2 linked regions of the Sus scrofa genome follow. Each later gene encodes a partner of the first gene's protein in a complex. Links are inferred from orthologs where the notes say so. Each region holds a gene or a part of one and is shown on either strand. Other genes may lie near its edges. The genes, in order: NCOA6 and lysine-specific demethylase 6A-like.

Region 1 (6,528 bases):
ATCCATAGCAACTCGGGATCTGAATCGCATCTGTGACCTACACTGTGGCTTGTGGCAATGCCGGATCCTTAACCCACTGATCGAGGCCAGGGATCAAACCTGCATCTTCATGGATACTAGTCAGGTTCTTAACCTGCTGAGTCACAATGGGGACTCCAATGTTAATTTTATATCTAACTTTTTGAGGAAATTTCAAACTGTTTATAACACAGGAGCATAGGTAAAAATTTATTACGTATACACTTAAGCTGTTTTCATTTTCCTGTATGTAAATCATACCTCACTTTTTCAAAGTAAAAAGAAAAACCTTAAACAAAAATCTTCCTAGGCTCTTGTACAAATCCTTTCGATGTTAATTTCACGGGCTCAAGTATCTGAAGTGCCCTCCTTTGGCTGCCTATGTTTTTCATTATCTTTCTCCACACTTTTGGGGATTCACACACAACAAATATTTATTGAGCATCTCCTTTGTGCCAGGCACTTTGCTATATCATGAGGAAACAGCAGTAAATAAGATATATAGTCTTCCTCCTAATTTGGTCCACAGCCTCGTGAAGACAGGCAATAAACAACCCAGTAATCCTACTGAGGGCAAGGGGAACCTGTCTGGGGAGTTCTCAGGGAAGGTGTACTTGGCGTAGTGATGTTTGAACTAGGATCTGAGGCTGATGAATTATCCAAGGAGGGGGGATATTTCAGGTGGAAGAATCAGTATGTGCAAGGTCCTGAGAAGAGAGGAAGTACAATGTGTGAAGGTCAGTGTAGTTTCAGCCACTCCAGAGAGGGGAAGAGGGCCTGAGAGAAGTCTGGAGATGTGGGAAGGGCAAAAGTGAGACAGATATTTGGTCTTTATCTTTCTTTTTTTTTCTTTTTACGGCTGCACTGCATTCTGAAGTTCCCAGGCTAGGGGTCAAATTGGAGCTGCAGCTGCCGGCCTGTATCACAGCCACAGCAACACCAGATAGCCACATATGCGACCTACATCACAGCTTGCAGCAATGCTAGATCCTTAACCCACTGAGCAAGGTAAGGAGTTGAACCCACATCCTTATGAATGCTATGTAGAGTTCTCAGCCCTCTGAGCCACAATGGGAACTACTATTCAGCCTTTATCTTTTGGAAGTTCCCAGGCCAGGGATCGCACCCACACCACAGCAGCAACCCAAGCCACTGCAGTGACAACGCTGGATCCTTAACCTGCTGCGCCACAAAAGAACTCCCATTTGGCCTTTATCTTAAGAGCAGTGTGGAGCCATCACATAGTTTTTTTTTTTTTTTTTTTTTTTTTGCTTTTGCTTTTTTTAGGGCCACACTTGCAGCATAGGGAAGTTCCCAAGCTAGGGGTCGAACCAGAGCTACAGATGCCAGCCTAAGCCACAGCTATAGCAATGCAGGATCCTTAACACACGGAAGGAGGCCAGGGATGGAATCTGCATCATCATGGAGCCTAGTTGGGTTCCTTAACCGCTGAGCCATGAAGGGAACTCCCCATCAAACAGTTTTAAATACAGGAGAGGCATGATCAGATTTCTTAGAAACATTACTCTAACAGGAGGGTGGAAAAGAGATCGAAGGGGAGCTAAGGAGAACATGAAAAGGCCTTAGATGGCTACTTCACCAGTCCGGGCACACACAGAGTGTGTGCTCAATAAATATTTGTGGAATGAAAGGATTCTTTTTCTTAGATAAGACTAGTGTGCCTGAGCTGTGCAATCTAATATGATGCTTGTAACAGACCTTTAATTTCCATTTTATAGATGAGAAAGCTGAGTTCAGAGGCAGAGAAAATCACATAGCTATCGAGTGAAAGCCAGATCCGAATGCAGGCCTATGACAGACATCAGTGCTGGGTAGGCCTTCCTACAGTTGTGGAGAGGGGAGGGGGCCACACTCCCTTGTACCTTCAGAGCTTGGTAGGGCAACTGTGATGGGAGAAAGTAGAGAGGGACTTACAAGCAAATAATAAAGGCTAAAGTTTATCATCATTAACGTTATTACATACTATGTGTCAGGCACTGTGTCAAGCGCTTTCCATGCCTTCCTTCATTTCCTCTTTGCAAACACTATTATTATCTGTATATTTCATGTGCATAGATCGAGGCTTATGGAGAGTTGACCTGCCCAAGGACATTCAGCCAGAGGGCTCTTATAGGATTGTGCAGTGACTGCAAAGTGGAGGCAGAAGCCACTGACGACACTACCTCGTCGAGATACAAAACCAGCAGATCGCCACACTAAGCTCTATACCGAAGTGAGCGGGCGCGCGCTACCTCGCGCACTCGGAGACGTTTGGTCACGTGGCCAATTCCCCGCCCCTAGTCCGCCCCGCCCTCTCCCGCGCTCCCTCCCTCTCTCCCTCCCTCCCCCTCCCTCCCCGGCCCGGTCCGGCCCATCCCCCTCCCCGCCGGCTCCCTGAGGCCCAGCCGGGTCGGGCTGCGGGCGGCCGGGAGCCGACGGCCAGATAGACCCGCGCAGGCGAGGACGGACGGACGGACACACGGAGGGCCGCGGGCATCCACGGCCCGGGCCGGTGCTCCGAGGCCCGCCCGGGAGGGCTGGGGCCGCGCTCAGGTGAGGTGACGGCGACGCGGGCCCGTAAGGGGTGGGCCCGCCGGGCGTCCCTGGTGCTGGCCCGGTTAGCTTCGTGGGAAGGAGGCGCCGCCCGGGCCCGGCGCGGGAAAATGGCGCCGGCCGACCGTGGAGCACGGCCCCTGTGCGGGCCCGGCCCGGAGCCGCCCCGCCTGCCTGCCCGCCGCGCTCGTGTCCCCGTCGCCATGTTGGGGAGCGGGCCCCGGGCCTACGGGCGGGGGCGCTGGAGGGAGCGGGGGGCTTGGGCGGGATGGGGAGGGTGCAGGACAAGGTGTCTGGGGCGCTCAGGGAGTGCTGAGCCGGCCAGGGTCTGCACCGGGTGGCGCTCCAGGCCCGAAGAACTGGCGGGAGCCGGACGTGGGGTCGTGGTCGGGGTCGCGGAGAAGGGACGTTGGGTCCAAACGGAGCTGGGGTCTGGATCACTGGGGCTAGGAGAGCAGGATCTGGAGCTGGTTTAGGCAGTGTTCATGATCCCAGGCAGGTAGGGCGCGGAGGGGCGTGGGATCTGAGCTCAGGCTGTCAGGGCTGGGACAGTTCTTTGGGGTTGTGATTAGAAATGGGGGCCCTTTAGGTACAGACGCTGGTATCAGATTGGGGGCAGTCTTCGGAGTCTCAGGGCAAGTCCGTATAACTCCCAGGGGGCTGAGGACATATTTGCCCTCAGGATCCTCCACTCCTCATTGGGAAGAGGAACAGAATAAAGTAAGGCTTTGATGAGGAAAAGAGAAAAGGGGGACTGAGGTTTGGATGCAGGAGCTGGCCAGCAAGAGATGCGGAATGAAAGTGGTTGGCCAGAAGAGTCTCCATCAACTTTGGGAGTTTGTGTGTGTCTTTAAAAGGAGGGACCAGGCTGTTTGTGGGCGGTGACCCAAGGTGTCTTCCCAGGAAGGGAACAGCCCACTGTTTTAAGAGCAGGGTCACCTGGGGAGGTCATCCGAAAGGTGTTAGTGAAGCCAGTAGGAATGGTGCAGAGGAATGAATGTATAGTTCTTAGATCATGTAAGGATTTCAGATCATGTAGTGATTTTAGCTGAGACAGAAAGGAAAACATGACTTCTAAAGATCTAAGCAGTTAATGGCAGAAGAGGTACTGGAACTTAGCCTGCTGCTGTCTCATTCAACACATTGTCTTAGAGGAATTTGCTAGCTGGGAGAAATTGTTAGGGAGTCAAGCATGGCAGCATATGTCAAAGAATCATTAAATAATTTATTTTGTTTTTGTAATGAGTTTGTCTAGTACAAAAACTGAAAGGGATACAGGAGCCCAGTGGGTTAAGAATCTGACCACAGCAGCTTGGGTCGCTGCAGAGGTGCTGGTTCCATCCCTGGCCTGCACGGTGGATTGACGGATCCAGCATTGCTGCAGCTGTGGCTCACATTCTGTCCCTGGCAAGGGAAATTCCATGTGCTGGGGATGGGGCCATAGGAAACAAAACAAAACAACACTGAATAGGATACAAAAAAAGTATAGGTAACCAGCTATTTGATGAGAGAAGTTTCATTTGTCCAGAGAATTTATCTTTAGGACCCTTTTGACATCTAACTTTCTAGAGGTTTAAGAGCTGCTCCGTCTCTTTTAGGTGTTTACTAAACAGCAAAGGGACACAAAAAGCTTAAGAAGGCAATAGTAAACGATGGTAGAGACCCAGGATCTCTATCATGACCAAACTGTAATTGAAGTTTAATCATGGTAGAGAAGAATTCACAGTCCCCATGGGCTATGAGGGAATTCTGAGAGAAACTGCAAATTAGTCATATAAGTAATTCCAGGGCTCCCACATAACAAAAAGGACTTTCAACAAAAAGGTTATGAGGATGTTTGTAGCAATAAGATTTTCAGTATATGTCCAGTACCTGTATACAGCAACATAATTTATTTGTTTTGGGTCTCTCTATGCTGGAAGGCCTAACTTTGTCTATGCCCTTTAGCATCTAGCAAAGGTTATGGATTCTTCTCAGAATAGTTTTTAATTGCATAAAATAAAATACATTGGAGTATAGAGAAACCAATTAATATTGAAATACCTAAGTATACAAGTTGTGATATAATAATACAGATATATGTCCAATAATTATACTTTTAAAGATGTGATGAATATCTGTAATTTTTAAGATAGCTGTAACAACTGTAATATAAAGATATCTGTGATTACTGTGCAGAGACACAGATACTGCTAATACCAGATGGTTTATTGCCTACATTCATATTTGAAGAAAATAGTTCCTTTTGGTTAGAAGTCAGTGAAAATAAAGAGGTAATTTTTTTTCCTGTCCAAGTTCACAGATGCCCCTGAATTCTGTCTGTGGACTCCCATGTATGAACCTCAGGTTAAGAAACCACAAAGAATGTCTTCCATTCAAACCACATTTATTGTGCCCTAAGACATCTACTTAGGTCAACCACCATGCTAGGCTCTGAGGAGTCTTAAGGTCTTTATAGCAAGGCAGGGTGTTTTCACTTTGGATATTTAGTCCCATGAGAGAAGTGAACATGTAAACAATGACAGTTCAGGATGGTAAGCGCCAAAGGAGAGTTACATGAAGGATACAGATGTAGGTATGTAAGTAGGTATGTAGGTAGTAAGAAGGACACAGAAGAAGGTATGTCTCTGCTCTAGGAATCCGGGAAGGCTCTGTGAACAAGTGACCCTTGATGTGTGTCCTGAAGGGTAGAGTAGTTTGCCAGATGCAGAATTGGAGAGAAGAGCTTTCAGGTAAGGGCATGCATGGGAATGTAATGTAATGTGGCTGGAGCATAGTGTGTTGTGAGAGTGGTTGGAGATGAGACGGGGAAGGTTGTTTTGGGACCTGATTGTGAAGGACCTTGTTAAGGAATTTGGACTGAATCCTTGGATTTTAGAGAGGTAGTCAGAGTTTTCAAGGAGTTACAATGAGGTTTAATTTTTAGGGGATAAATGGATGTGTTTTGGAAGGAGCGTGAACAGGATAGCAGGGAAGTAGTCATGAGGGCCTGAACTAAGGCAGAAACTGTAAGCATTGAACAGAGTTAGAATTTTCACGTATTGATATAATTACGTTGTGAGTAGTGAGAGAGAGGGTGAATTTTTTTACATTTCTAGTTTGGGATGATGGCTGTCAAAGAAGTTTAAAAAAAGGTTGAAAGGAAAATGAGAGAGAATTGTCTCAGATAATAAGGGAAAGATGTTTTTGGTAGAGTAATAGACTTTTGGAAGCCATTGCAAAGCTGTCAAGAGTGATGTCGTTTATTGCTTAAGAAAATCAGAGGTGTCAACAGTGAAAGACTGGAAGTATTCCTAGAGTGTAAGAAATATCACAGCTGTCAGTGTCAGAGGTTGGCAAACTATGGTCCATGGATCAAATCTATTCCACCACCTGTTTATGTAAATAAAGTTTTATTGCAACATAGGCACACATTAATTTACATATTGCCTTTGGCTGCTTTCACGCTGCCAGTGGCAGAGTTAAGTAGTTGTGACAGAGAATATTTAGCTCACAAAGCTGAAAATGTTTACTTTCTGACCGTTTGCTCATGATGTTTGCCATTCCCTAATCTATGTAGCTGAATGTTGGACATTAAACTTCTGATTTACCATCCAGTTCCTATATGATGGCACTGTCTTTCTGGTTTGGTCCCTCATACTCTGTGTACCTGCAGCATGACATAAACCCTTGAATATTTTATATTGGTCAGTGATGCCAAGATCTACTGTTTCGGGGTCCACTGTGTGGCAGCTGTGGTTAGTGCCAAGTTTTCACAGCCATTCTAGGGCTCGTTTCGTCGGTTTTCTATTGGGTTATCTTTTTCAAAAGATTTCTTTATATTTTCTGATTATTAATCCTTTGTTGGTTGTATTATTACAGATTTCATTTCCGAATTTGTTGTTAATTTTTTAAACTAGTTATCTTTTGTTAAAAAGAAGGTCTGGATTTTAATTAAGTTTATCAATCTTTTCCTCC
Region 2 (6,861 bases), on another chromosome or scaffold:
CACAATTGGCTCCTTATCAAACCTCTCAAATCCAAATCCATATTTAGTTCTCTCATCAAGGTCCAATGACACCAGTAAGAACTGGAAACACTGGTAAAAAATTAGGTTTGCTGTAAAGACTTTTGAAACTTTTTTTTTTGGTCTCTCACGCAACGTGTAAGTTCCTGGGCCAGAGATCAAAAACAGCACAGCAGTGACCTGAGCTGCTGCAGTGATAATGCCAGATCCTTAATTTACTGAGCCCTAGGGAACTTCTTGAAAGTATTTTTGATGCTAATATAAAGGACAAACTTTAACTGTATGTATAAATCTAGTCATGATTTTGTCATGTGATCTTTTAAGATCTGTATAAACTATGACCTAAATATTCCACAATATCTGTATTTCTGCTTGTGCAAATGTATTTAAAAATGCCAAAAATTCCTCAGTCTTGAGGGTCACCTTATTGCAGTTAATTTACTCATTACAGACATTCTGAGGAATCTGTCTGTAATCATTAACAAATAGAGTAAGGAAAATACAGTAGAAGTGTTTCAGAGGAAGCAATTAATTAGACAGTAAACTTTTTTTTTTTTTTGGTTTTTTTGCTATTCCTTGGGCCGCTCCTGTGGCATATGGAGGTTCCCAGGCTAGGGGGCGAATCGGCACTGTAGCCACCGGCCTACGCCAGAGCCACAGCAACGTGGGATCCGAGCCACGTCTTTGACCCTACACCACAGCTCATGGCAATGCCGGATCCTTAATCCACTGAGCAAGGGCAGGGACCGTACCCGCAACCTCATGGTTCCTAGTTGGATTCATTAACCACTGCACCACGGCGGCAACTCCTAGACTATAAACTACTAAACTAGAGGTAGTACAGTTACTATTCTTCAAAGAGCAATGAAAATACGGGTGCAAAATACTAGGGATTCCAGAGCTCCTCATTAAATGTGTTAGAATTTATTGAGTCATCTATCTCTAAATGAAACAACATAATTTGTCTTAGGACTTAGACAAGTAAAGTAATTCTTTCAGCAGAGAAAGAATTCAGTAACAGAGTGACAGGTAAGAAGAGTTTATCAGCGTTCCCGTCTTGATGCAGTGGACAACAAACCTGACTAGGAACCATGAGGTTGCATGTTCAATCCCTGGCCTCTCTCAGCAGGCTGAGGATCTGGCATTGCTGTGAGCTGTGGTGTAGGTCACAGATGCTGCTCAAATCCTGCGTTGCTGTGGTTATGGAATAGGCCAGAGGCTATGGCTCTGATTTAGCCCCTAGCCTGGGAACCTCCATGTGCTGAGGTTTCGGCCCTAAAGAGCAAAAAAAAAAAAAAAAAAAAAGAAGAAGAAGAAAAGGGTTTATCAGTACAGGACATTTCTGAGATTTGTGTGAAATACAAGGAGGAAGGCAAAGGAATGCCAAGCTGAGAACTTAATAGCTACAGTTCTAAAATCAAAGGAAAAGTGGGGAAGGGGATTAAGACCTCCTTCTTCCTCCTCCTCTAAATAGTAGCAGATATCAAGCTTCCATCATCAAGTTTGGGGGGGGGAGTTTTCTTGTCCCTGTCTGGTCAAACTGGGACTGTCATGGCACAATGGAAATGAGCAAAAAGGTGATAATACACACTAACATATGGGAAATCAGCTCAGATTTCAGTAGACTGCCACTTTTCCCTATGTTTTTGTTTTTAGTGTGTACAGAGAAGCATGTCCTAGGAATCACTGGCTTACTAACCTCACTAAACAAGATGTAGGTCTCATTTTACTATTCCTTTATCATCTGGAGGCATATTTCATGCTTCTGTTCCATGGTTTTGCTGCTAAGCAAGCCTGCTTTCTTGCATTACCATTAATTTATATACCCCCCAATTTTTTTTTTTTAACAATCCCCTAATAGGATCAACTACTTAATCACCTGTTTCTGCCCTTTAGTCTGTAACTATCATAAACTGTCCTCCTCTTTATGTAAATCAAAGTTTAAATACATTTTGTCTGTTTTAGATCAAGGGAAATTTTCCCAAAACTAAGTATTTCAGGCAACTATTTTTAAAAAATAAGCATTTTCCTAATCTTACAAGTATTTTTTAAGATACTTATTAAAAGTTAGCATTTTTCAGGAGCTCCCGTCCGTGGCTCAGCTAAAAGGAATCCAACTGGGAACCATGAGGTTGCGGTCCGATCCTGGGGCTTGCTCAGGTTAAGGATTTGGCCATGTGGTGAGCTGTGGTATAGGTCATAGACCCAGCTTGGATCTGGCACTGCTGTGTCTGGGGCACAGGCCCAGCAGCAACAGCTCAGATGCGAACTCCACCCTGGGAGTGGGGTTGGGTGTGACCTTAAAAAGCAAAAAAAAAAAAGAAAGGGATTTTCCCAATTAATAACAACTGGAGGTACAGCGCAGATGATATTGCATAAAGTATCACACAAGAGTTGCCCGTTTTAAGAAAAGTAATTTACAGAGGCCTAATTTTCCCCACAATTGTATTATTTACAACCTGACAAAAGCAAAATAAGAAAGTATTGTTACGTTTTGTTTTCTAAGGCTTACAGCATCTCCAGTTAGGGTCTTAAATATTTCTTCGCAGCTTGGATCACCCGCCCATTTTGGGATCAGTGCGGGAGGCACCAACAACGTTTGGAGTTCTAGCTGGTCAGCCAGACTCCCCGAAAGGCTGCTGGGATCTGGTGGGTGGGCTGTGGTCTCAAGGTTCTTACCTCTCCCTTTACGACCCGGGATAGGAAACCCGGCAGGAAGAGTTAGTTAGGGCCGCGTGGTTATTATTTTCCAAAGGTGCCAAAAGTCTTGTCTTCCAGGATCGGAGGTTCAAGTGTTACACTTGTTATGATCCAGGTGGTGAGAGTTTCCATAATATTACAACGCCTGTGTCAGTGCCGCAGCTGAAAAAGAGCTATGAGTCCTCCATCTGTGCTGTCGTCTGCCGCAGTATCTTCTAGGTTTCAATCTTCTCCATCATTCCCTTCCTCAGCTTGTTATTAACGAGGCCGAGACACTCCATTTTTTACAACGATGTAGAACAGTTTGCTGTACATGTTGCACACCCTTTTCCAAATCAGCGAGTCCGCTAACCAATTTACCCACGAAAGTTTGCGCCCCTTCCGGTTCCTGTACGGGTCGGCGGTGACTTCGTGGGAGTGATTGGGTATCTAGCAAGTTCGGTTGAGCCGCAAGTGACGTGAGTCAACAAAGGTCACGTGAGGCAAGCCCTTCGCATCAATTGGCGGCGCCGGGTTTAGGGGGTGGGGGCGTCACGGTTACTCGGGGTTTGCCCGGTGACACGATTGCAACTTTGTGCGGGTGCTGGCGAAGTTTGTAAGTCTAAGATAGTCTTCCATTACAGCGGGCTTCCGCGTTTTCTGCTGTCATCGCATACTCCATGATGTGACCTCGGCAGCCGAGTTGCGCAGCGTGGGTATTCGCTGTTTTTGCTATCAGCTTGGGCTTTTTCATCACCGCCACCTGCGTTGCTTGCTATAAAGTTGGTTTGCCTGTGTGTAGCGCCAAGACCTTCTTTTCGCGTCCTGGACTGGGGTTTGGTACATTTCGGCCTTGAGAATTTTACATTTGTTGCGTTTCAATGAAATCCTGCGGAGTGTCGCTCGCTGCCGCTGCAGCTGTTTTCGGTGATGAGGAAAAGAAAATGGCGGCGGGAAAAGCCAGCGGCGAGACGAAGGAGAGTTCCCTCAGCTTGACAACCGAAGAGAAGGAGGCGCTTAGCGGAATGGACAGGTACGGACCGCTGTTACTCTCCCACGTGGCTACCGACCGGCTGCAACCGCTCATCGGGGTAACTTGAGCTCGAGTTACCTCTGGTGGCGGCGTCGTCCAAGTGGTTGCTGCCACCCGTGCCTCGGGATGGGGAAGGGACCGGTCAGTGGCTTTACTTACGCGTTAATAAGTTGTCTGTATTTTCTCCCATAGCCGCCTCTTTGGGTTCGTGAGCCTGCATGAAGATGGCGCCAGGACTAAAACTCTGTTGGGCAAGGTAAGGCAGTCTCGGGGGCCAACGCAGTCCCCCGCTTGTGCCCTGTTGTCTTTGCCACCTGCAGCCACTGAGGCGCGTTGTGGCAGAAAACGAAAAATTATTTTGCTCTCTTCTCACCTGGATACCTCGCTTACTGCCTGGCAAAATTCTGTATTGTTGCTTGAGCAGCAGAGACGTCGGGGTTTTCGGGCAACGCCTAACGGTTATTTTGGAGCATTTTCTTTAGGAAATGATTCCTGAATTTCAGTATCACAGAGTCGTGAACGTGTGCAGATTGAAATTTTTCAAATTCCCATGCGCTGTTCTTTTTTTTTTTGTTGTTTTCTTTTTTTCCCCTTTGACGGTCGGCTTGAGAGATCTGCTTTTAAGTGATCGTTTTAAACTTTAATTACTCATGTTCTCAGAAGGGATAGTTTGTATATCCTTTGCAACCGTGAAGAGTTTGAATTGGGTATTGAACCAGTATACTGATTGGTGTGTTTTCGAACCGGGTAAACTGTTTGTTTGGGTTTAGCTGCTTAGATTTATTGCTGACAATGCCAATAATCCCCCGCCCCCCCCCCGCCCCCAGCACCTTGTTTTTGGTGTCTGACATAGACGGGCGAGTTTTCTCGGTTTATCTGTGTAAAAAGTTATCGGCACTGTCACTTAGTTAATGGCTGCCCCATCGGCCAAGATGGCGGGAAATAGTGGGTGGGGAAATGACGACGTGAGTTTTGAAGGAGGGAAGAGATATAAACAAGGAAACGCTAGCGGTAAGCGTGCTTTTGCATTGGTTACTGTGTCTTGATGGTGCATAATAAAAATTTAGCACTGATATTTAAAAGTAGAATTCTTAGATTACCAAGCTTTACAACAGCATTCGTGAACCTAAAATGTGCTTTGCAACCTGGGATCTATTTAGTCGTAGTAAACGATTGCACAAATACCATGTAATCTCAGTTGCACAAATACCATGTAATTTCAATCTTCTGAGCAAAATCTAGTTAAAATATATTTTTCTTTCATTTCATTCCATGGAAGGGGGTCATATTTCCATTAGATATTTACTTTTCTAACCGAGACTGGTAGCTGTGAATTTGTCTTACCTTTTGCTCCATTTCAGAAGGACGTATTAAGTATGTATGCTTTTTTTGTTTTGGTTGCACCCACAGGCATATAAAAGTTCCCTGGATCCTTTAACTCATTTTTGCCAGGCAGGGGATGGAACATGCACCTCCACAGCAATCTGAAGTGCTGCAGTGTTATTTTTATTGCACTGACTATAGGTAGAACGCTAATAAATTTTATTTTTAAGTTATTTTTGACAGTTTCTGTTGTAGTTCAGCAGTAATAAGCCCAGCTAGTGTTCATGAGGCTGAAGGTTCAATCCCTGACCTTACTTGGTAGATTAAATATCGGGTGTTGCGGTGAGCTGTGATGTAGGTCCATGGCTGCAGGTCTGATTTCCACCTCTAGCCTGAGAACTATGCTGCAGGTGTGGCCTAAAAAAATTTTTTTTTCTTGTCGAGAATTCTGAGCTGTACTTGAATTTATGTAATCTTAAATTTTTTTTTAACCTGTAATCTCACTTTTATCTTTGTTTTTAAGGCAGAAAATGACCATGAGATAGTGTAATAATTTGTCATCCAATCCATTTAATAAAACTCGAATTAAGCTTTGGTCATGTAGGTAATTATTACTCCGTTAACCTTATCACTGGGAGAGTAAACAGTGACTTTCTCTGATAGTATTTAAGCAGCAGTGAAGTGAGCCAGAGCAATGATAATGCCGGACCCTTAACTGCTAGGCCACCAGGTATTGCCTATTTTTTTTTTTCTTAATTTTTATTAAAAAACTCAGTATTTAAATATTTTATCGAAGTTCCCATCGTGGCTCAGCTAGTTAAGAACACAAACAGTATCCATGAGGTTGTGGGTTCAATTCCTGGCCTCTCTCAGTGGCTAAGAATTAAGGATCCAACATTACCCTGAGCTATTGGCCATAGGGCCAGATGGACTTTGGTTCTTGCCTTTTTGTGGCTGTGGTGTAGGCTGGTAGCTGCAGGTCTGATTCAATCCTAGCCTGGAGACTTCTGTATGCTGCATGTGGTTTTGTTGTTGTTTTTTATTTTTTTAATTTTTTTTGGTCTTTTTTTTGCTATTTCTTGGGCCGCTCCTGCGGCATATGGAGGTTCCCAGGCTAGGGGTTGAATTGGAGCTGTAGCCACCGGCCTACGCCAGAGCCACAGCAACGCGGGATCCGAGCCGCGTCTGCAACCTACACCACAGCTCACGGCAACGCTGGATGCTTTACCCACTGAGCAAGGGCAGGGATCGAACCTACAACCTCATGGTTCCTAGTCGGATTCGTTAACCACTGCACCACCATGAACTCCCAGAATAACTTTCGAAGTAACTTTTTAAAAAACAACAGTTCCCGTCGTGGCACAGTGGTTAACGAATCCGACTAGGAACCATGAGGTTGCGGGTTCGGTCCCTGCCCTTGCTCAGTGGGTTAACGATCCAGTGTTGCCGTGAGCTGTGCTGTAGGTTGCAGACGCACCTTGGATCCCACGTTCTCTGGCTCTGGTGTAGGCCGGTGGCTACACCTCTGATTAGATCCCTAGCTAGGAACCTCCATGTGCCACTGCAGTGGCCCTAGAAAAGGCAAAAAGACCAAAAACAGAAAAAAAAAGAAATTCTGATAGACTGAAAAAATCTTGACTGTAAAGTAATGTTATTTCATGTTGTAGAGGCTTAATTTTTAACTTGTGTTGAAGTTGAATATACTGATGGAAATTTGAAAATGGGTGAATCTATTACTTTAATTTTTTGTTTTATTTTTTTTTGCTCTTTAGGGCTGCATCCATGGCATATGAAGGTTCCCAGGCTAG

The links.
Region 2: NCOA6 (region 1) and lysine-specific demethylase 6A-like share a complex: the UniProt entries of both Homo sapiens proteins name them as parts of the MLL2/3 complex. The link is inferred for Sus scrofa from reciprocal best matches to the Homo sapiens genes NCOA6 and KDM6A.

The regions. Positions count from the first base shown.
Region 1 is NC_010459.5:38,217,741-38,224,268, reverse strand, and holds the start of NCOA6 (nuclear receptor coactivator 6), read left to right. Parts: upstream 1-2,367; 5' UTR 2,368-2,571; exon of another isoform or gene 2,572-2,576; intron 2,577-6,528. UniProt on the Homo sapiens protein: Nuclear receptor coactivator that directly binds nuclear receptors and stimulates the transcriptional activities in a hormone-dependent fashion. Coactivates expression in an agonist- and AF2-dependent manner.
Region 2 is NC_010462.3:9,084,339-9,091,199, reverse strand, and holds the start of lysine-specific demethylase 6A-like, read left to right. Parts: upstream 1-3,229; 5' UTR 3,230-3,578; coding exon 3,579-3,730; intron 3,731-3,922; coding exon 3,923-3,986; intron 3,987-6,861. UniProt on the Homo sapiens protein: Histone demethylase that specifically demethylates 'Lys-27' of histone H3, thereby playing a central role in histone code. Demethylates trimethylated and dimethylated but not monomethylated H3 'Lys-27'.